3 linked regions of the Rattus norvegicus genome follow. The protein of the gene in region 3 purifies or fractionates together with the protein of the main gene of each other region. This does not show direct contact. Links are inferred from orthologs where the notes say so. Each region holds a gene or a part of one and is shown on either strand. Other genes may lie near its edges.

Region 1 (7,726 bases), on a different chromosome or scaffold from region 3:
AGATAAATAGACAGACAGACAGACAGACAGACAGACACACACACACACACACACACACACACACAAAAGCAACTCTTTTTAAGAAGAAGAAGAAAGGAGCTGGAGAGATGGCTCAGTGGTTAAGAGCACTGACTGCTCTTCCAGAGGTCCTGAGTTCAATTCCCAGCAACCACATGGTGGCTCACAACTATCTGTAAAGAGATCTGATGCCCTCTTCTGGTGTATCTGAAGACAGCTACAGTGTACTCATATATAATAAATAAATAGATCTTTTTAAAAAAAAAAAAGGAGGAGAAGAAGAAGAAGAAGAAGAAGAAGAAGAAGAAGAAGAAGAAGAAGAAGAAGAAGAAGAAGAAGAAAGAAATAGTACCCATGTAATTCCAGTCCCAGAGGATCTGACACCCTCCTTTGACCTCTGTGGGTACCAGGCACACATACAGTGTACAAACACACATGCAGGCAACACACCCATATGCATAAACTAAATCAATTTATAATTCTTTTAAGGAAGACAGATACACTTTATAGTCACTCATTCTCTCTGCGACTAGCCATGTGGGATGCAGCACCTCAGGTTCTCATTGCTTGTGAGAGGCCTTGAGAGTCACTGGGTCAAGCTCCCAACTGAGAGAGGGTGGAGAATTTTTGTTTTTCTTTTTGGTCCCATTATTGGGGCCTTTTTTTTTGTCTCTACACTTCCCCCCACAACAGGATATTCAGGTAAAATTTTTTATTAAAGATTAATTTATTTATTTTATATATGTGAGAGCATCAGAACCCATTACAGATGGTCATAAACCACTTTGTGGTTGCTAGGGATTGAACTGGGGATTGAACCGGAAGAGCAGTTGGTGCTCTTAACCACTGAGCCATCTCTGCAGCCCCCGGAGAAATCTTTGGCAGGGGCGTTAAGACTTCTTTTGAAACTGCTCCAGAGCAGAAGAGGGAAGGAGCTTCTCCACATTGCTGGTCCGTCCACGGCGTTGCTGTAGTCGTATCTGGAGGAGGGAGGCGATCACGGGAGGTTAAAGGTCAGACTGTGACATTGCTCGCAGACTAAGAGGGCCTTGGTGCAGGAGACAAGTGTGAGCAGGGACAGTAATGATCATTATTTCTGCGGGAAAGTCACCTGGAGCTTAACGGCCTGTAGTCTAGACTATACCAAGTGTGCCAGTGGGTTGGTTGTAAGAAGGGGCGGAAGGCAGAGAGCAAGAAGCAGCAAGAGCAGGGGCTGTGGGAACTAAGGCAGCCCAAACACCTGGGAAAATCTGCCTAGGAGCCATCTTACTCCATAGGTCTGCTCACCAGAAGGCAGCCTTCGGGGGAGTCGTGGTCCTTCAGTGAAGGTTGCTAGGAGTGAGGGGTTCACAAGACTACTCTCCCCAAGGTCATTTTCTTCTATGGCTTAGCCACTGCTAAGTTTCTCCTGTCCCTGTAAATAGCCCCTCTCCCCTGCTCCTATGAAAAGCCCGAATGAAACTCACTGGGTCATGACATAAATAAATGCATGAGAGAGAGAAGAGGCTGGCAGGAACACGGGAAGAGGAGAACTAGAGCACTCTGGGAAGTAAATAAGATCAGACTATACACGTGCACGGAGGAATCATACTTGTTAGGTGGAATTAATATATATCAATATGCACAACTGTAAAATCCTGTAATTATTTGAAAGTCATGAGGCAGGATAGCTAATTCTGACAGAAAGCGGACATTTAGTGCAGGTGCCACAGAGGCTAGAAGAAGGCATAAATACCCTTGAGGCTGGGGTTCCAGGTGGCTGTGCATGTGACATGGCTGGCTGGATTCAAACTCAGGTCTTTGGGAAGAGCAGCCAGTGCCCTTAACCACGGAGCTGTCTCTCCAGCTCATAAAATTGTTGAAATAGCTAATGGATAATGACTTAAATCCAATGTCCTTGTGACCTAGACGTAAGTATCCTTTTGACCAGTATTGTTTGTGCACCTGTGCCTGTGTTCGAATACATTGGTGTACATATTTAAGTCTGTGCACATGTGTTTGGAGACCATAGAATAGCCTCGTGTTACCTCCCAGGCCCCCCTCTTTTTCACATCCTGTCTCTCACTGTCCAGCAAGTGAGACTTGCCCCAGGACTCCACCAGCTTATATGGAAGCCACTGCTGAGGTTACAAGCCAACCCACGATTTCTGGTTTCTAACACCCTCCCTAGGGGTTGGGGTTCGGTCCCCAGCTCAGGAAAAAAACAAACAAACAAACAAACAAAAACACCCTCCCTACACACACACACACACACACACACACACGCACACGCACACACACATGCATGCACACACATATGTGACTTATAAGGGTTGATCTCTGGTGAGAGATGTTTTGCCACCGAGAATCTCCCCAGCCCTTGTCAATCAAATGTGCTCATCTCTGCTAGATTCTCTTCTCCACCGGCAAGCCCATGCAATAAAGTTTCTTTTCCAAGAACAAATTCTTAGGGATTCACCTCACATCTAAGCTTAGTTAGAGATTCAGTAGCTTTAACACCTCAAGTCACAAACACTGATGCTGAGCCCCTTGGGTGCTGTTAAATTTCAGACCTGGGACAAATGGCTGAGGTGACTAACATCTCAAAGAGAACCTGGCTGCTGGGTTCTCCCTGTAACCCTCAACCTCCACCTGTTACCCTTGCCAGCCTCCTGCTTTTCCCTATATCATCCAGACATTTTAGTTTCTAGCTCTTTGTTCCTTCGGGCCTCCTGACTACTGCACCGGATTCCCCTCTCTCCCCTCTCTCCCCTCTCTCCCCTCTCTCCCCTCTCTCCCCTCTCTCTCCTCTCTCCCCTCTCTCCCCTCTCCTCCCCCTCTCATCCCCTTCCCCCGTCATGTGGCTCAGGGTCTTGTCCTCTGTGGACTCACCTAAACATTCCTGCTCTGCACTCTTCCTTTTATCTATAGTAAACTTTACCCTCTGCCTCACCTAGGAGCGGTTATATGATGGCTAATATAAATCTTCAGTTATTCTTGAAAACGCATTCATGATTGTTTGGTTGAGGGTTTCTTTGTTTTGCTTTAGTTTGGTTAGTGAGATCAATCTTAGCTCACTATACCTTGGCCATAGATAGTATTGACATAGGAGTCTCACTTGAGGAATCCTCTCTGTTGGGTTGGTCTGTGGGTCTTGCCTAGGCAGGTGGGCAGCCGCGGAGGTGGAGGCTAGGGGTTTTATTAGGAAAGTAGCTGATCAAGCAAGAGGGAACTATCCAGTAAGCAGCGTCCTGTGTTAGCCTCCCTCAATGATGGACTGTAAAGACTAATATGAAATAAGTCCTTTCCCCTCCGAGCTGGTTACAGTCAGTGTTTATCTCAGCAACAGTAACGTGAACTAGAAAAGGCAGCCAAACTATTATCTTTATTTTGGACCTTTTAGCTTCCTCCTCTAGGAGGAGGAAGTGTTGTAAAGAGCTTGTATACTAAAGCTTCTCCTGTCGATATTTTTTGGTCCTTTTCTCTTCAAAAGAACCTTATGAATGGCCTCACTATTGAGAGAGGCTTTAAAAAAAATGGGAGAGGGCGCGTTCACTCGCTCCTAAATGAAGAACAGCGCATTTTTGCTTTCTTCTTCCATGACTTTTGGTTCCCCTGATAGCCCGGCCAAGACTACATTTCCCAGCAGGCCATGCTCAGACCTACGGGTGCCCACATGGGACCTAGAAACTCTGGGGGCGGCACAGTAGCATTACGGGCTGCTGACGGGCCGGCGCTTCGCGGTTTGAATGGCTGTGGGCCCGGGCCCTAAGCTCATCTGAAGAGCCGCGGCCTCCGGGTGTGCCATGGCATCTGGAGGCAACCAGTCGTCACCTCCCCCTCCTGCTGCTGCAGCCAGCTCAGAGGAAGAGGAGGAGGATGGCGACACCGCGGACCGGGCGCAGCCCGCAGGGTCCCCAAGCCATCAGATCCAACAGCGGTTCGAAGAGCTGTGCAGCCGCCTTAACATGGACGAGGCGGCACGCGCCGAGGCCTGGAGCAGCTACCGCAGCATGAGCGAGAGCTACACGCTGGAGGTGCGTGCTCAGATCCTCCGCGGAAGTCGGGGACTCGGGGTGGCTCTGGGGTCACTTGGTCGTTTGCACCGCACCATTGCTGTGCAGCCGTCTTAGGAGACGCATTAAGTTTCCGGCTTGCTTCCGTGTGAGAACGGCTTAGGATTGTTGCCCCCCAACCCCGGCAATGAAAAGCGGGTGTAGACACACAACATTTGTTGCTGAGCACGGGCACTCTTTTTGGCTGTCATCCAGGTGTAGGCTTGTTATGTTCCGTTCTTGGGACGGGGCTTGCAGTTGACGAAAATGGCTCTTTGGGCCAGTGTCTGTCAACTCTGCAGGCACCTCCCCTGTGTGGGCCAATGGGAAGTGACACGGAAGTCCGGATTGTTTATCGCTGCCTGTGCGGATGGCCCTTTGCTTTTATATATAGCTTCTGAAAGAGAGGGGCAAAGAGGCCCCCGATCCGAAGGCTAAACAAGATGTTATTTAACTATAATACGATGGCTGGACTTGTGCCGTTCTTCTGAGTTGGTTTATTTCTATTTTTTAAAAACCGTCACACATTGAATTTCCCTCTCTCCATTTGTTAACACCCACAAAAAAAAGAAATAGGACATCTTCAGACCCAGATCTGAGTGACTCTGGGCAAGTTTGCAACCACAGTGAAACTCAGTTTGGTTGTGTAAGCAGTTTTGTTATTTGTGCCCACCTCAAAGTGCTGACCTAAAGCTTAACTAAAGCAATGTGTGTATGCGTGCAGATAATTGCATATACTGAAGCCGTCTGGCTGAAGAGGCTGTCGCCTTCCTCCTGACTTAGTGTTCCCTGGAACCAGGCAAAGAGGGGAATTTCGGGCTTGAAGGACATAGAGACCCCCAAACGAACTCTTACTTCACCTTAGAGAGGGCACTGTAAATTAGCAAGAATAAGCACTATAACATAGCAGAGGCTTCAATTCACAGAAACGAAGTCAATATGAAGCCTGGTGTCGCATATGCAACTGACATTTAACAGATGCCTAGTAAATGTGTGTGTGTGTGTGTGTGTGTGTGTGTGTGTGTGTGTGTCCCCGGTGGATCCTGGGGGGTCCATCAGATCTGCAGTTTGTCACCTAGCACCTTTACTTGCTCAACCTGCTGGATTAGTAAATTATTTTTGAGAACATATTCACTAGTTCTTGTTTGGCCAAGGCTTTCCATTTATTTGTTTGTTTATTATTTATTTTTTTTTAATTTGGCTTGTTTAGTGAGGTTTTAATCTTGATTCTTAGCCCAGTTTACCCTTGTGATAACTTCAGTTGTCAATTTGACACACTTGGGAAGAGGGAGACCTCACTGAGGAATCGTCTCCCTCAGATTGACAGCGGGCATGCCTGTGGCCATGTTCTTAGTTGCTAAGTGATGTCGCCCACTGTGGGCTATGCTACCCCTCATGGTCCTGGGCTGTACACAGAAGGCAGCATTGCGTAGTTCAGCTCTTGCCTCCAGGTTCCTGCCTGGAGTTCCTGACTGTAACCTGTAAACTAAATAAACCTTTCGTCCCCAAGTTGCTTTTAGCTGTGGTGTTTATCACAGTGCATCTCGAACAACCTTATACTGGCATGAATATCTGTTCACTTTGGAGTATTTCCTGAGCCCCTATCTCTTGCATTGTAGCATCCTCATGTATAAGACTTTTTTTTTTCCTTTTCAGGGGATGATTTAGTTATAGGTTCTCTCATCTCCCTTAAGCCCCCCCCCCCTTTTTTAGAACAAAGATGACAATTTAACTGCTTACCTGTATTCTTCCTAACAGATCTTGATGGAAATAAAACTCAGTAGTTGAAAAGCTCAGTTTCCCTTGAAATCATATAATTGGGGAAATCGTGACAACATGGGGTTGAGGGTGTGCTGTAGCGGACTGTGTCTGGTGGTAAGGCCTTGAGTTCTAATACCCATCAGTACCAAAACCAAAAACCAAAAACCAAAACTGTCCTCCAAACCAAACACCGTATGAAACCATTGCTCAGAGCTGTGCTTAAGTGGAGGAGAGAGGACTTGATGGGTGACATACCATGCAAGCATGTGGACCTGAGCCTAGATCCTAACATCCTTGCTGAAAGCTGGGGTAGATATCATGCTACAGTTTGGGAATTCAGGCAGTGCAAAGGAGGTGCTATGTTGTCTGCATCAAAATGACTGTTGTCTCACCCAGAAGCACTGTGTCACAAGGGTGTCAGTATGGTAGGGTTCCTTGGGCATCTCTCTGTGTAGAACTGGCCACTGCCATATTCTCTCTCAGCATGTCAGTTGAAGGGAGGCACACGCTTTGTATGCTGGTTTATGACATCCTCAAAGATGAAGGCAGTCGGTATCAGCATTCCCTTCTGTGACCTTTGAGATTGTATAGCATCACTTTTACCTGTGGTATTAATAAAGACCATCATGTACAGGGGCATAAGACTCTGCCCTGCTTCAAGGTAAAGGAACAGAGACAGTACCATGCATGGACGAATGTCAATGTCACATACTAGAAGAGGCCGTGGGCAAGGGCCGTCATAGAAATATCACTTTCGATATGAATGCACGAAGTTTTCCATTGAAGCACACGGAAGTCATTAGCTAAAACTCTTTTTTCTCTTTCAGGGAAATGATCTCCATTGGTTAGCATGTGCCTTATATGTGGCTTGCAGAAAATCTGTTCCTACTGTGAGCAAAGGGACTGCTGAAGGAAACTATGTGTCTTTAACTAGAATCCTTCGATGTTCTGAGCAAAGGTAATTATGTTAGAGCTTGAAAAGTAGGATGCTGCTAAAATTAAGAAAGCTTAGACACCACACTGATAATGGAAATTCTCTCTGTTTACTATTTTCTGAGCATCTAACATGTACACAGCTGAGTGTAGAAACTGAGTTGTGGTTTCCTTTACCATTTCGGAGTCAGGATCGCAGTGTACGAACATGAGTGTATTCGTGTTGTAATGCATTAAAGGTTATAACTTATTGCCTAATATTGCTTTAAGTTTAAATAAAGAGACCGAGAAGCTTTTGAAGATACCATGGATTTAAAAGGTAAATAAATATAAATTATTAGGTATTCTGCATAGAACTTATTTTTTTTAAGATTTATTCATTTATTATATATAAGTACACTGTAGCTGTCTTCAGACACACCAGAAGAGGGCATCAGATCTCTTTACAGATGGTTGTGAGCCACCATGTGGTTGCTGGGAATTGAACTCAGGACCTCTGGAAGAGTAGTCGGGTCCTCTTAACCGCTGAGCCATCTCTCCAGCCCAGAACTTATGTTTTAATGCATGTGAAATGTGTAGTAAAATTGGACCTGCGTCTTCTCTGATCCTAAAGAAACTCCTACACACATCGTGCATACCAAGATGCTTATGGCAACATTCAAAAATTCATGGTTTTTTATGTGTATGCATGTTTGCATGTATATGTGTGTACCACATGTGTTCCGGTGCCTGTGGAGGTCAGAAGGCATTGGATCTCCTGGAACTGGAGTTACAGATGGTTGTGAGCTGCGGTGTGGCTGCTGGAACAGAACCTCAGTCCTCTGCCAAGAGCAACAAATGTTCTTAGCCTCTGAGCCCCTCTCCAGACCTGCACTATTTTATTAAAGGAAAATTCGAAGTAATCGGTCTCTGTTCATTGAGTGAATGCAGAAAGTTATTGAATGTTCATAGGAAGGAATTGTTTTAGTAATTAAACTTGT
Region 2 (7,666 bases), on a different chromosome or scaffold from region 3:
TTCCACTTCCCAAGCACTGGGCCTACAGATCATGTACCACCATGCCTGATTTCTGAGTGGCTAGGATTGAACACAGAGCTTTGTGCATTCCTATGCAGTACTAAGGGTACAGTCCCCCAATTCTTGACTCTGGTTCCTGAACTACTCCATTCTGCTGACCTGAACGATACAACCTGCCCGTCTTCTTGGCGTATAGGTGCACCACTAACTTCTAGGAAGTTGGATGCAAGAAACAGTAAGTGCTACTTGCTTTCACGGTTAGCTTGTAAAAACCCTCCTAATGTATGTTCAAACGGCACAGCACTATACACGTTTCCTGCCTCCTGTATGTACTGTGTAGCTTGGAGATCCTCTTTTATAAGAAGAGCTTTTGGTTAGGAAAAGTGGGTTCTGTGATGTAAAAAGTTCAGTTTAGAGCATACTAATGGTTAGAATGACTGTGAGAACAGCTAGACCTGTTCCAGGGGAAGAGCTGTAAACACAGATGTGAACTTGTAAGCTCGAAGGCCCAGGGTGTGATAAGATTCAGGTAAGTGTTTTCAATGAGTGAAGATAGTGCTGGGAGTTTTTCTTGTTATAACTCAAAGTTGCTATGTAGTTGAGGATGAGGATGGCCTTGAAAATCTTGAACTTTTATTTTAAAGATTTATTTTATGTATATGAGTACACTGTTGCTGTCTTCAGACACACCAGAAGAAGGTGTTGGATCCCATTACAGATGGTTGTGAGCCACCATGTGGTTGCTGGGAATTGAACTCAGGACCTCTGGAAGAGCAATCAGTACTCTTAACCACTGAGCCATCCCTTCAGTCCTAACCTTGAACTTTTGGGCTTCCCACTTCAACCTTCTGAGTGCTGGGACTATGGGGCTGAACCATGACATTTGGCTTACACAGTGATGGGGTTTGGACATGGATCTAATGTACACTTCCAGACTCTACAATTAGGTTTTAAGTTGTGTGTGTGTGTGTGTGTGTGTGTGTGTGTGTGTGTGTACATCGTGCATGAGCAATACATGCATGATGCTATGGTGTGCTTTCCATCACGTGGGCTGTTCCCCACAAGTCAGTGTACCCATTTTTGTTATTTTTGATACAGGGTCTTTGACTATCTAGTCCTTGGTAGCCTAGAAATATGTAAAACAACCTGGCCTCAAACTCCTAGAGATCCACCTGCTGCTGCCTTAATAGTGCTGGGATAAACGTGTGTGCCACCGCGTGGAACCTAAAGATTAATATTACTGTTTGTTTTTGAGACAGGGTCTTACTATACAGTTCTGTCTGGCCTAGAACTTGCTGTGTAAGCTATGCTGGCCTCAGATCTCCATTCTGCCTCCTGAGCACTAAGGTTGAAAGTGTGTGCCACCACATCCATCTGGGCCTAAAGATTTTTATTAGTTGTGTGTGCACATGAGGGCAGTGCCCCTGGAGGTCAGAAGAGTCAGGAGCTGGAGTTACAGGTGGCTGTGAGCCTCCTGGGATGGGTGCTGGGAACCAAATTGGGGTTCTCTGAAAGAGCATTGCATGTGCCAGTCTTTGAGAGAGGGCCTGCGTAGCCCTGGCTAACCTGAACTTCATATATAGACCAGGCTGCCTAGACTTGACTGCTTCTGCCCCAAGTGCTAGGATGTATATCGTTATGCCAGGCTCCTGTTGTAAAAGTGCTGTTGGAAAAGTTGTGTGCCACTATGTCTAGCTAGTGTTTTGAGATGGGGTGGGCTCAAATTCACTACGTAATGAAAATGGCCTCAATTTCCCGATCCTGCTGCCTCTAAGTCAAGATTTGGGGAAACCTGTCCATGGTAATTGAACCATGTGCAACTGAGTCCTAGTGATCCAAATGGATATAGGTGCTCAGAATTTCTTCATAACTGGAGAGCAAAGGGGCTTAGAGTTGTGAAGGAACTAAGGATTTTTTAAAAAAGTTATTTAAAGATGTATTTTTATGCTGGGCTTGCTGGTGTATGTCTTTAATCCCAGCAGTTCAGGAAGCAGAAGCAGGTGGCCTCTGAGCTCGACCCCAGGCTGAACAGCCAGGGCTATAGAGAAACCTTGTCTTGTAAAACAACAACAAAAAGAATTTTTATGTTTTGCTTTTTGGCTGTGTTTACCAAAAGACATATCAGATCTGAAGTTGTCATGTGGATGGTGGGAGTCAAACCTAGGGCCTCTGTAGGAGCAACAGGTGCCAATAACTACAGAGCCATTTCTACAATTCTAGAACTGTTTTTGTTTGTTTGTTTGTTTGTTTGTTTGTTTGTTTTTTGAGGCAGGGTTTGTGTAGCCTTGGCTGTTCTAGAACTAGTCAGAGAACCTCCTGTCTCCTCCAGAGCGCTGGGCTTAAAGACCTTGTGCCATCAAGAGTGCCTAAGATTTTTAAAGTTAGTGTCATTTACTTTACACCTGGCTAGCTGATTTCTCATGGTCTATCGCTTATAAATTTCATTTCTGACACGACGTCTTATGTATTCCTGGCCCTTTTTGAATTTCTTATGTAGTTGAAGACGGCCTTCGACTTCTTACCCTCCTGCCTTCAGGGTTGTCTGGCAAGTGTGACTTTACAACTGAGCTACAGTCTCAGTCCTGGTCCTGTCATTTTAGAGATGATTAAAAAATGGGTTTAGAAGAGGTTCAATCAACTGCTCAAGTGCCAAGAGCCAGGCCCAATTTGACCAATTTGACAGAAGTTTGTTAAGAACCAACTACTCTCCCTCCTGACCTCTTGCTGCTCTACTTGATTCAAGAGATTAATTTTACAAGTGACTAAAAGCGAGGTGCTGAGGACCTAGTGGGTCCAGAGAGCAGATGGGCGGATCCTCAACTGCCAGATCTTTCCAGAGGGCACAGGCCCCGAGGGCTGGCTTTGGCATTCCATTGCACTGGATAAGAAGGTCGGGAGGAAGCGCAATCTCCTGAGGAGACCGCAGGGGTAAACTGAGAAAGAGCTGTCACAAAACAAGCGTAAGGCAGGTGGAGGAATTCTCCTCAGGAAGGCCGGCGTCGGCCCGCTTGGGCTCCTTTCTGCCTCTCCGGGCTTGGAAAAGCCCGAGGTAAAAGCCGACTTGAGGCGAAAGCAGGCAGGCAAGGTGCACGCGTGAGGCCCAGGTGGGAACTGGCGGCGCCATTCGCAAACTTGGGCCACCGCGGCGATCCCCCGCGGGCCGGAGGCGCGGAGAGGCCGCCGAGGAGAGCCCGGCCGCCTTGGGTGGGGCCGGGAAGGGCCCAGGCCGCGGGCGACGCCCGGCCACGTGACCCGGCGTGTTGTGGTCCGGCCCGCGTGGGTGGCGGGAGCGGCGCGGGGGCGGGGAGGGGCGGGTCACGTGACGGGGTTTAAATCTCCCGCAGCCGAGCCGCGGGGGCGCCAGTGCCGCGCGTCGAGCGGAGCAGAGGAGGCGAGGGCGGAGGGCCAGAGAGGCAGTTGGAAGATGGCGGACGAGGCGGCGCTCGCCCTTCAGGCCGGCGGCTCCCCTTCCGCGGCGGCCGCCATGGAGGCCGCGTCGCAGCCCGCTGACGAACCGCTCCGCAAGAGGCCGCGCCGAGACGGGCCTGGCCTCGGGCGCAGCCCGGGCGAGCCGAGCGCGGCGGCGGCGGCCGCGGCGGCTGCCGCGGGGTGTGAGGCGGCGAGCGCCGCGGCCCCGGCGGCGCTGTGGCGGGAGGCAGCAGGGGCGGCGGCGGCGAGCGCGGAGCGGGAGGCCCCGGCGACAGCCGCGGCCGGGGACGGAGACAATGGGCCCGGCTTGCGGCGGGAGCCGAGGGCCGCCGACGACTTCGACGACGACGAGGGCGAGGAGGAAGACGAGGCGGCGGCGGCTGCGGCGGCAGCAATCGGCTACCGAGGTGAGTCCGCGCGCGGGACCGCGCAGCCGCGTCCCTCCGCGTCCCCGCCTGTGACCTGGTCCCAGGCTGCCCGGGGCCCTGATAGCTGCGAGGGCTCCGCGGCGGCGGCGCAGCTCGGCCCTGGCTCGGCCGCGCGCCGCCGAGCTCGCCAGCCCTACTGCGGAGCCGCGCGCGGACTCGCCGCTCGCTTGGGCCGCCTTGCGCTGCTGCGCGCAGTCGCCGGGGCAGCAGGCTCTCGCAGTTGTCGTTAGAGTTAAGTTTTTCCCTCCCTCGTCTTCGTTTACCGAAGCGCCTTTATTAAAGTTGTGTTTTTCCTTGTTGCACACTTTGGTTTGCAACTTTGGGACTGTCCCGTGGATCGACCTGCGATTGCGTTTGTATACTGACACCTGTGTTGCTTTTTTTTTTTTTTTTTTTTTTTTGTCTGATGGACCTGTCTTTTGAAATTAGAAATTTTTTTTATAGACCAAAGCTGTTTCGTGAGGCACAGTCTTAAAAATGTAAGGAAAGAGCTATTCCTAAAACCATTACTTTACTGCGATTGCATTTATCACTTCGGTATAGAAGAGTGATAGTTGTACAGTACTTTCGTGAGCTTTTTTTTCTTCGAAAATCATGTCCTCACAACATTTTTAGATTAAGTATTTCTTACATATTTGCAATTCTGAAACAAACCTGCTTGGCTTTGCCCTATTGACTCCAAACGTTTGGGGGAGTTTGTTTGTTTTTGTTTTGCCTTTTTTATATAACATCACTTACTGTTTTCCTTGAAAAGCTTTGTCCAGAATTTATCGGAGTCTGTCAGTTGCCTCCTAAATGTTTGGACCATCTAATGGCACACTGGCCATGAATTAAAAAACAGAACAGCATGTTAGGGACTGGAATAGTAAGTAGTCCTTGTCAGCTGTTAGAGGGGAAACGAGATGCATAAAGTATGTTCCATGTTCTTTAAAGCATAAATTTGCCAACACCGGGGAGGCTGAAGCAGGAGGATTGCTACTTGAAGGGCTACAGAAAGAGCTGTAGGGCAGTGAGGACACAGCTAGAGATTGATTTTTATCTCTGACATGTAGAGGTAATTTCTATTTGATGCATTTCATGAAGTTGTGTATTTCTTTGTCCTGGTCCTGGAACCCAGAGCCTGTTTTGAAAGCATACGTCCGTTGGGCTACACAGATTTTATTTTATTTTATTTTTTTTTTTTTTAAAGATGTATTCATTTATTATATGTAAGTACACTGTAGCTGTCTTCAGACACACCAGAAGAGGGCATCAGATCTCTTTAGAGATGGTTGTGAGCCACCATGTGGTTGCTGGGAATTGAACTCAGGACCTCTGGAAGAGTAGTCGGGTGCTCTTTACCACTGAGCCATCTCTCCAGCCCCACAGATTTTATTTTTGTGTTGTGTGCCTTCGTTTTGGATTTTGAGGTAGGGTCCCCGTTTAGCCCAGGCTGGTCCTGGAACTATTTTGTAAGGTCAGGCTGGTTTACAACGTCTGTGCCTTCCAGTTGCTGGAATTACAGATGTGTGTGGGTCTATGCCTTTCTGGGTTTTGTTTTTGTCTCAAAAACTTGTGTCTCACTGTATAAGCCAAACCGGCCTCAAAGTACCTGGGATTGCAGGTATGGACAGCAAGCAGCTGGGGATTGTCTGAGCAGCAGCTTTTTGATCTCTTTGACAGACAACCTCCTGTTGGCTGATGAGATCATCACTAATGGCTTTCATTCCTGTGAAAGTGATGACGATGACAGAGCATCACACGCAAGCTCTAGTGACTGGACTCCAAGGCCACGGATAGGTATGCTTTAGGCATGTGCACCTTTGAAACAATCACCCTTCCTTCCTTCCTTCCTTCCTTCCTTCCTTACTTCCTTCCTTCCTTCCCTCCCTCTTTCCCTCCCTCCTTCCCTCCCTTCTTCCCTCCTTCCCTCCTTCCGGAGACAAGGTATTTTATTATAGCCCAGGCTAGTTCAGTTGCCCTGCTGTTTTTTTTTGCAGCAGCCTTTGGAGTGTACCAAGGCTCTTTTTCACTTTTTCTTCTCTTTCTCTCCTTTCTTGATTTCTTTGACATTTTCATGTAAAAATGGCTTTAAACTCATGGAGTCTAGGATGAAAGGATGACATTGAGCTGATATTCCTAACTTTATCAGCAGCCCAGAGTGCTGGGATTATAGGTGTGCTGTACCATGTCCCTTTGTCAGTGGCAAAGGATAGTCCTCCCGTCTTTTTTCTTGTATACTTTCATGTACCAGTCTTTGGGGTTGTTTGTTTGTGGCTGTTGTCTGCTTGCCTGTTGAGAAAGGATCACTTATAGCCTAGCCTGGCTTGAACTCATTGACATGTGTAGCCAGCACTTATTGGCCTTGAATATCTGAGCTTGTGTACAGATGCTGGGGATTACAGTTATTTGGTACCACCCCCACAGCTGCTTTTGTACCCACTTTACCATTTAGATTTAATTGCAAAGGTATTGGTAAGATTCTTTTTTTCTTGGCTTCCTGTATGCTAATCCCTGAGCTCACCAAGTCCCCCTAACCTTTAAAATACTTAAAACATCTAAGCTTAGTCAAAATACCTAGACAGTCCAGGTAGTGGTGGCATGCACCTTTTTAATCTCTGCACTCAGGAAGCAGAGGCAGGAGAATCTCTTGAATTCTAGGCCAGCCCGATCTACAGAGCAAGTTCCAGGACAGCCAGGGCTATGCAGAGAAACCCTGTCTCAAACCAAACCAACTAACCAAGCAAAAAAACCCTTATACCTAAGCACTTCCTCCCCAAACTCTGGATTAGTCAGATTAGTTAGGGATATGACAGGAAATATCTTTAAATTATATTCTTTGCATATAAATGTATCGATTGCTACCTCATTGGTTGAAAATATAGAGCACTTCCATTAGAAGGGGATGACGGGACTCTTTCTTCCCTTAATATAGGTCCATATACTTTTGTTCAGCAACACCTCATGATTGGCACCGATCCTCGAACAATTCTTAAAGATTTATTACCAGAAACAATTCCTCCACCTGAGTTGGATGATATGACACTGTGGCAGATTGTTATTAATATCCTTTCAGAACCACCAAAGCGGAAAAAAAGAAAAGATATTAATACAATTGAAGATGCTGTGAAGTTACTACAAGAGTGCAAAAAGATAATAGTTCTGACTGGAGCTGGGGTAAGTAAGACACATGAAAACAGTAAAGAGAAAAAGCTAGTATATATTTTATTCCTTTTCCAGTTAATTTTTTTGTTTGCTTTGCTTTTGATGTAGTAGTCTTTGTTCATAAAAACTGAGGACAGCAGCATTTGCTAAACTAGTTCAGTGTTTTGAAAAGTTTAACAACTTTAAATCTTTGTATATTTATAGTACAATTGGTAAGTGGAATTACGGGGTTTTTTGTTTGTTTTAAGATCATGTGTGAGAGAGAGAAGGGGGAGAAAGGAGGAGGAGAAAGAGGAGAAACACACACACACACAGAGATTAATTGATTGATTGATTTTTGCCTATATGCATACATGTGCATGGTATGCCTGGTACCCCACAGAGGCCACAAATGAGTATTGGGTTTCCAGGAATGTGGGCCACCATGTGGGTGCTGGCAAACGTGAGTTCTCTTTAAGGAGCAGCAAGTTCTCTTTCATGGCTAGGCTCTCTCTCTAGCTCCTGGACTTGTTTGGTTTTAATTTTATGTGTATGGGTGTTTTATCTGCATGTATGCTTCTCTGCCATTGTGTGAAGTGCTTAAGGAGTCCAGAAGGCATCAGATCTCCTGAAACTGTAGTGATAGATGTTTGTGAGCCTCCAAGTCCTCTGCAAGAGCATCAAGC
Region 3 (7,584 bases):
CTTTCTGGCGGAACAGGACTCCACCTCAGGCTAGAAGCACTAGCTAAATCTCCCTCAAGTCCCAACCTACAGAGACTATACAACCAGTGCTTCCAGCCACCAAGGGAGGGTCTGGGTCCCCCAGGCAGCTCCCGCCTCTAGCTTTTAGCTCATTTGCGTATCTATAACCATGGCAGCAGCTGGAGCTCACCAACTGCTCTGTGTTCAGTGTACTCTGCTCTTTGAACTGACAACACCACAACCCTCCACTTTACAACCTACATAGAAGACCACAGAGAAGTGGCAGAGCCACAATCCCTACCCAGGTCTTCGAGAAAGACCCTGAGCTGCTAACCTCCATGCCCTCTAACCTAAGTTCTAACTTCACAGTGACGGGAAGGACCCCGAAATCCCACAGATAGCTCAAAACACACTAACCGGACCAGACTTGCTATCCTTCACCAGTCACGGGCCTTTCTCAACTAAACCCTCTCAACCTGACCCACCACCTGTCACGTTCTTTTGCCAAGAATTCTACCCACAGCCATTATCACCCTCCCACCGGACAGGACAGCTGTCCCCATGCTGGTCTCCCTCTACATCACTCTGCCTCAGTAAAGCCTTCCAACAGCACTCCTCACATGAACTGTGGGGATGAGCTTCTCCCAAGCCCTGCTCTAACGCTATTCTATGCCCTCTCCACACACCTGAAGCTGGCTCCTGCACGATTGCTTAAGAGAGCAATTGCTGTCCTCTCTCGGTACTGCCTCAAACCTGGCCTTTTCCTCCATCCAATACAACTTCTACAGATGTGTCTGTTGTCCCTGCCCACTGCCTCCACCGGAGAAAGGTCATTCATTGGACACTGGACCAATAAACCCCTGCATCAGTGTCTGCCACAGGCCTCAGTGTCCGCCAAGACTCCCCACCATCATCCTGCCACCAACTCCTGGAAGCCAAGGAAAAGGACAGCACATGAGAGTGAGACGATGAGAAAAAGGCAGACACTGCCTCTGCTGTCTGTGCGAGAGCAGGGCGGTGACTAAATCCCAAACATTTCCTCAGCAAACTTTTGTCTGACTGTAGGAGGTATGGCAGTCTCCACCTTGGAAGACCTGTAGCCAGGAAGAAATCCAGGTATATGCACCCCAATGGGCTGACACAGCCCCAGATGCCCTTGCCCATCTCCAATGTCATCCTTAAAGTAGGGCTCAGATTGATGGTGTTTCTGTCACTCATCTTTAGACAACACTGAGATCCTAAAAACCACAGGTGAAGATATTGATAACTGAGTGCTTCAAACACCCATCCACAAAGGCTGTATGTAGCCCCTGGAACAGCATGTGGTCTCAGTAACAGACCCAGACAGGTCCAGGCCAGCACAGAATGCTCTCACAGACACACAAGGAAACCACTCTGACAGGCTAATACATATATGGTCCCTTCCTGGACTAAAAGCTCAGGAGCTGCTCCAGTTCAGTTTCTGACAGAGTGTGTTTCAGAAACAGGCGCGCTTCTGTGGGAGAGCCAGGGCAGACTGTTACCTCCTCTGGGCAATGTGAATGACGTACTGTTTGAACATGGATCAGGCACAGGAAAACCTTGAACTCCTGATCCTTATACCTCTACTTCTTAAGTGCTGGAATTATAAAGGTGCCATCACACGTGGCTCACAGCAACTTTTAGAACTATTAAAAACAAAAGTTCTGAAGACTGGGGACTGGCAGAGTACTTATTTGGTGTGCATTCCATTCTGGGTCCAATCCCCAACAGCAGTTAAGTGCTCACAGTGACCAGCAAGAGATTCATATAATAGAGTAACAGTGTCACACCTAAACCAAGAGCCCTGAAGAAGAGCTAGCTTTCTACTCTAAGCCTGTCTTTTTTTTTTTTTTTTTTTTTTTTTCCGGAGCTGGGGACCAAACCCAGGGCCTTGTGCTTGCTAGGCAAGCGCTCTACCACTGAGCTAAATCCCCAACCCCAAGCCTGTCTTTTACAGACTTAATGTATGGTACTACATACTGTCCACAGTAAACAAGTACTACATTATAATGGAAACATCAGCTTCTTGCTGTTACCATTTTGAAACAGGGTCTTTGTAGTGCAGGCTGGCTTTGAACTCAAGACTCAGTATCCTCATTCTTGCCTGCTTGGATTATAAGATGTCAGTTAACCAAAATAGGCTGTTGGTGTTTTAATTTATTTTTATTTAACTAATTTGCTTTTTAAATTGTTTTCTTTTTAAAAAGAACTTTGTGTCCGTATGACTATATATGAACATGGGTACCCAAGGACAGGAGAAGACAATATCAAACCCCTCGAAACTGGAGTTGGTCATCTGTGACCTCAGTGTTGGGCTGTGATCAAACTTAAGTTGTCATATAGAATAGCAAGTGCTTTCAATGGCTAAACCATCTCTCCAGACCAACTTCCTTTAAGGTACAGTTTCACTCTAGGTAACCCTGGCTGGCCTTGAACATGTGGATTCTCCTGTCTCTGCTTCTCCCTAGTCAATACACCCCGATAGGATCTATAAACACACACACACACACACACACACACACACACACACACACAGACAAGGTAAAGGTAGGTAGGGCAGGAAGAATGTCTGAATTGCAGAGGTGTAGAGAGGTACACAGGAAGCACCCAGCAAGTGCTCACTGGGTGGAAGCCAAGCCTGTAGCTTATTTCAAGGACTGCCCCCCCACCCCAAATTCCAGAGCAAAGTCAGTAGAGGCCAAAATCCAGATTTGCATTCCTGGCCTTTGGCTCCAGGATGGTGTCAACCTCTCCCACAGAAAATGTTTGCTGGGCCTTAAGTACCGTGGGGGAAGGGGATCCTTAAGTACCTCTGCACCTAGCACATAATGGGGACTCACGAACTCCACAACTTGAGTGAATGCAATGTTTAGTCAAATGTAGAATATCTGCCCAGGGCCCAACCTTCTACCTACTGGTACAGGCCCGTGGAGTGGAGGGAAGGCAAGCCAGCTGACCCACCAAATACTGGCCGGCCTCCTCAGTGGGAGGAAAGGGCTTTAACAATCAGGAAATACCACTCCCTAGAAGAATGATTAAGAAGTTCCATCATTTGTGGGCTTCAGCCTCCTCATCTATGGAAGGATGAAAAAGTAAGGCTGTCCACAGGGTTAAGTGGGTAAAGTGCTTAGCACAGAGCCTGGCACCCAAAACGTCCTCAAAACAATGGTGGTTGCTATTGTTATTGTTATTAGCATCTTGGTGATTCCGGAAGGAAGGCAGCACTGGGCACTGGGCCAAAGGGGGTATGGGCCTTCTCTAAGATGCCTCTGGGACCAGCTGCCACCCGCACCCCCACCAGGAGTTGAACAGTTTCTACTCCGGTATTGGGTCTGGCCCCTCCCGCTTGCTCCAAGCCCCCTGCTGTGAACACCTCCTGCTTGCTCCACCCCTACAATAAAGTTGGTGGCCCACTGGCTGAGCTGGCCCCTGCTTAGATCCAAGTTCCACTCTCCACTTCCGCTGCCTTTTCTAGGCCCCCAGCCTAAACTGGTCTTGCTACTTAGGATCAGGAAAAGACTTTATCCAGGGATCTCCCTCCCACGTCTTCTCTCTCCAGGAACTGGAGGCCCCTTCTCAGGGGCCCAGCCCACCCAGTCTTCCAGAGTCTCAGGGGTCTGTCCGCCTGATTAATAAAGTTCCATGGCAACCAGGGGCTGGAAGGGTGGCAGATGGAAGGACAGGCAGAGGAAGGGTTGCAGCAGCTGGCCCAGCACCCCGCCCCTGCAGAGAAGGCCTCCCAATCAAGAGGCCTATCCCCAGAGGCCTGGAAGGCCAGGCCTGCACCTGGCAGAGCCACGAAGGAGGGTCTCTCGAGGATGTCTCCAACAGTCACCCTCTTTCATCTCCATCAAGCAACTGTGCGCACTAACTAGCCATAGGTTCTGCAGCAAGCCAGCCGCCATCAGTTCAAATACCAGCCCCACCATCTGCAGCTGCGTGAAGCACTTCCCTGTCTCTGGGCCTCAGTTCCTCCCTCTGGCAGATGGGCACGTGACAACACCCAGCTCACAACAGAGTTGAGAATTTTGGCCGACTTCAAGTGTGCCAAAGCCTGGGCGTGCAATAAGCAAGCACCAGCTGAATACACGTGAGCCATTATCATTAATAAACCTGCCGCTCTGGTGAAGACGCTGAGGCCCAGAGCAAGGCGCAGCAAACAGACAGGGCAAGGCAGTCAGTCAGCGCGCGCCCCGGGGCGGAGCCCCGAGGCCCAGCCCAGACTCCGCACCGCCCAGCGCTGCAGCCCGCCCCTCCCCCGCCCGCGCCTAGGGTCCGTACCGGCGGGCGGCCGAGAGCCGGGCGCGGTGCACTAGGCGCGGGTCGGGGCGCCTGCGGCGTTGCGAAGAGCAGCACGTCAGGATCTCGAGGGCCAGCGGGCGGCGCGGCGGGGCCGGTGGGGACCTGCGGGGCGCCGACATCGGGCGCGGTGGAGATGATGACGATCTGCGAGGAGTCGAGCAGCCGCAGCGCGCCCGCCCCGAGCAGGGCCTCCAGCGCCGGCGCGTGCTGGCCGCCCGCGGGGGCTACGGCCATGGCACTCACGGCCCGCGTGGCCCGGGAGGCAGGCGGCGGCGGCGGCGCGGGCCCATGACGGCAGGCCGCGGCGAGGGCTCGATCCCGCTCCGCCCCGGCCGCCGCTGCCTGCAAAGTCCGGGCCACTTTTACGCGCCAAATCCTTTTTGCCGCGAAAGAGCCACGCGCCGCCGAACGCCTCCTCCATTGGCCTGCGTGGCTGTGACGAAGTCGGCTTCGGTAGCAGACATTGGTTGCAGCGTGCGGGGCAGGCGACGGAGGGTGGGACCAGGGGCGGGGTGGCCAATCGCGGGGCGGGGCGCGCGCAGGCTTTGTCCGGGCGGTGCCGGGCGCCTTCTCCCTTCTGCCTCTCGCTGTGCCCTGCAGGGGGCGTGGGCAATGGACCCCGCCCCCTTCACCGCCCACTCGATGGGTGGCGGGGTCTGGCGAAGGCAACAAACTTCGTACTTGGTTCTGCACGTCCCGCAGTCTCCACATGCCGCATGAGCCCCTAAACTCTCAACCTGTGGTCTCCACCCCCTCAGTTTACAGTCCAGAAACTGCTTCTTCTGCACGCTCAGGCTCACCTCCAAAGTTCACTTCAGCCACATCTCCGGTCTTAAGACCCACTTATTCCATTAGTTCACATCATGGGTTCTTCCCTGTCACCCAGAAGCCAAGCCCAAGAGGGGTGCCAGGAAATGAGTAGGGATGTGTGGCTTTGATCTCAGTCTCATTTTACTGAAATTCCTTTAGTAGCCAACGCCCAGTTATCGTTCATTCGTTTGGTCAGTCCACAATGGCACCTGTCTTTAATCCCAGCACTTGGGAGGCAGAGGCGGGCGGATTTTCCAAGTTCAGGCCATTCAGGACTACACAGTGAGACCCTGTCTCAAAAAAATCACAAACGCCTGAGAGCCTGTTTATTGTCCCATACTCAACCCAGACCTTGACTCCTGACTTAGTGAAAAGGAAAAAAGGGAACCGAGAGGCAGCAGATGCTTACAATGTGAAGAGATTGAACTAAGTAACTCCACGTTAGGCCTCACAGAGGGCGGTGCAGGGGTGGGGAGGGTGCATATGGAGGGATCCTTTAATCCTGAGGTCCTCCATCAGCATTTCTGATTGCTCAGGTCAGCCCATCTGATCAGCATTGTGGTCCTCTCTGACAGGCATCTTGCCAATACTGGGAATCGAAACACGAAAGGTTTAACAAGACCTACATACTTCCTGCCCTTGCGGGTGGGGATGACCACAAGAAGAGTAGCTGACAGGGGCTGGGGATTTAGCTCAGTGGTAGAGCCCTTACCTAGGAAGCTCAAGGCCCTGGGTTCGGTCCCCAGCTCCGGAAAAAAAAAAAAAAAAAAAAAAAAACCAAAAAAAAAAAAAAAAAGAAAAGAGTAGCTGACAATATTCAAGTCCCCAAGTCCAGTGTAGGCTACAAGGAGCTCTCAAGCCCGGGTACTTTCACTATCACCTCATACTACTTTATCTTCCACGCATCGGTTAACTTTGAACCACCCAACCTTGGTCAATTTAGAATCAATCCCAGGCCGCCCCCGCCCCCCTTTTTTTTTGTTTTTTTTGGGGGGGGTAGTTTGTTTCTTTGTTTTTTCGAGGCATGGTCTCATTGTCTGGCTCTGGCTGTCCTGGAACACGCTTAAGTATGCCTGCTTCTGCCTCCCAAGTCTGGGATTGAACGAGTTAGCCATTATGCTTGGTTTATTCACACACACACACCTTTTTTTTTTTTTAAGATAATAGAATCTTGCTATGTAGTAGCTCAAACTGAATCAATGTAACCTTCCTGCATGGCCTCCTGAGTGCTAAGACTGCATGTTTGGATCACTATCCCCAGTTCCGGTTTAGAGTCTTTTGGTCAAGATTGGAAGAGATTAAGTCCCAGGACATGGACTGTGATACAGCAAGAATAAATAAATAGGGGCTGGAGAGATGGCTCAGTGGTTAAGCGCACTGACTGCTCTTCCAGAGGTCCTGAGTTCAAATCCCAGCAACCACGTGGTGGCTCACAACCATCTGTAACGGATTCTGGTGTATCTGAAGACAACTGCAGTGTACTCATATACATTAAATAAATAAAATATTTTTTAAAAAGAAGAAGAAGGGGTTGGGGATTTAGCTCAGTGGGGACCTTGGGTTCGGTCCCCAGTTCCGAAAAAAATAAAATAAATAAAATAAAAAGAAGAAGAAATAAATAAAAATGTAAACAAAGAAACACAAGGAACACTTATGCCCATCCCAGATAATGTGTTCATCTTTGAAAACAAATTGGTATACCTTTACAATGAAAATGTGGAGTGGAGCCGAAATTTACAATTCCTACAGCTGGGTATAGTTGCACACACCTGCAACCCCAGCAGGTCAGGTAGATAGAGGAAGTCCAGGAGAGTGCTAGGTCATCCTTGGCCATATAGGCAGTCAGGGCACATGAGATCTTGTTATAAACCAAGCAAACTGCAACTCCCAAGGATGCTTTTCAGTTCAGTTTTGTGTTTAAAAAAATAAAATGGGCACCTAGATCTTGCCTTGGCTGTCTCAAGTTTGCATGAGGATAGAAGCATAGGGACTGGAAAGTGTTCTGTAGACTCTGTGGTGATTTGGAAAGCAGCGAGAGTGTCTTTCCTTCCCCCACTCATGAACAGTTTGTGAAATTACTCATTGCAAATCCTGGAATGTGTCAGAACAGGGAAGAACCACAGAGAGCACATGAGCCTCTCGCTGTACAGATGGGAAAAGGAGGCCCATTCAGGGCTGGTGCCTGCAAATTCAGTGACAGAATGTGGCCCACACTAGGTCCCCTGACCTGGGTCTGCCTGTGCCCGTGCCTGTGCTGCCCACCCTCCACAGCACAGTAGAGAAGCCGAAGGCTAACCTTCAGGGTAACCAAGCCTGACACTGACACTACGGGAGAATGAGAGAGGTTGGCACATTCTCATGCCAGATGTAGGGTTTGCTGTCCTCCGGCTCTCCTAAGGGACCCATTAACAAGGACACTCGCTTTCGTAAAGCCTTCTGTTACTCCATAGT

Evidence for each region.
Region 1: the proteins of E2f1 (region 3) and Rbl2 purify together in Homo sapiens (affinity purification with western blotting; 3 studies listed by BioGRID and IntAct, with this or other methods). This does not show direct contact. The link is inferred for Rattus norvegicus from reciprocal best matches to the Homo sapiens genes E2F1 and RBL2.
Region 2: the proteins of E2f1 (region 3) and Sirt1 purify together in Homo sapiens (affinity purification with western blotting; 3 studies listed by BioGRID and IntAct, with this or other methods). This does not show direct contact. The link is inferred for Rattus norvegicus from reciprocal best matches to the Homo sapiens genes E2F1 and SIRT1.

What each region holds. Positions count from the first base shown.
Region 1 is NC_086037.1:32,092,423-32,100,148, reverse strand, and holds the start of Rbl2 (retinoblastoma-like protein 2), read left to right. Parts: upstream 1-3,737; 5' UTR 3,738-3,803; coding exon 3,804-4,034; intron 4,035-6,640; coding exon 6,641-6,771; intron 6,772-7,726. UniProt on the Homo sapiens protein: Key regulator of entry into cell division. Directly involved in heterochromatin formation by maintaining overall chromatin structure and, in particular, that of constitutive heterochromatin by stabilizing histone methylation.
Region 2 is NC_086038.1:25,302,591-25,310,256, forward strand, and holds the start of Sirt1 (NAD-dependent protein deacetylase sirtuin-1), read left to right. Parts: upstream 1-3,362; 5' UTR 3,363-3,424; coding exon 3,425-3,836; intron 3,837-5,519; coding exon 5,520-5,636; intron 5,637-6,771; coding exon 6,772-7,013; intron 7,014-7,666. UniProt on the Homo sapiens protein: NAD-dependent protein deacetylase that links transcriptional regulation directly to intracellular energetics and participates in the coordination of several separated cellular functions such as cell cycle, response to DNA damage, metabolism, apoptosis and autophagy.
Region 3 is NC_086021.1:163,530,854-163,538,437, forward strand, and holds the start of E2f1 (transcription factor E2F1), read right to left. Parts: upstream 4,711-7,584; 5' UTR 4,558-4,710; coding exon 4,303-4,557; intron 1-4,302. UniProt on the Homo sapiens protein: Transcription activator that binds DNA cooperatively with DP proteins through the E2 recognition site, 5'-TTTC[CG]CGC-3' found in the promoter region of a number of genes whose products are involved in cell cycle regulation or in DNA replication.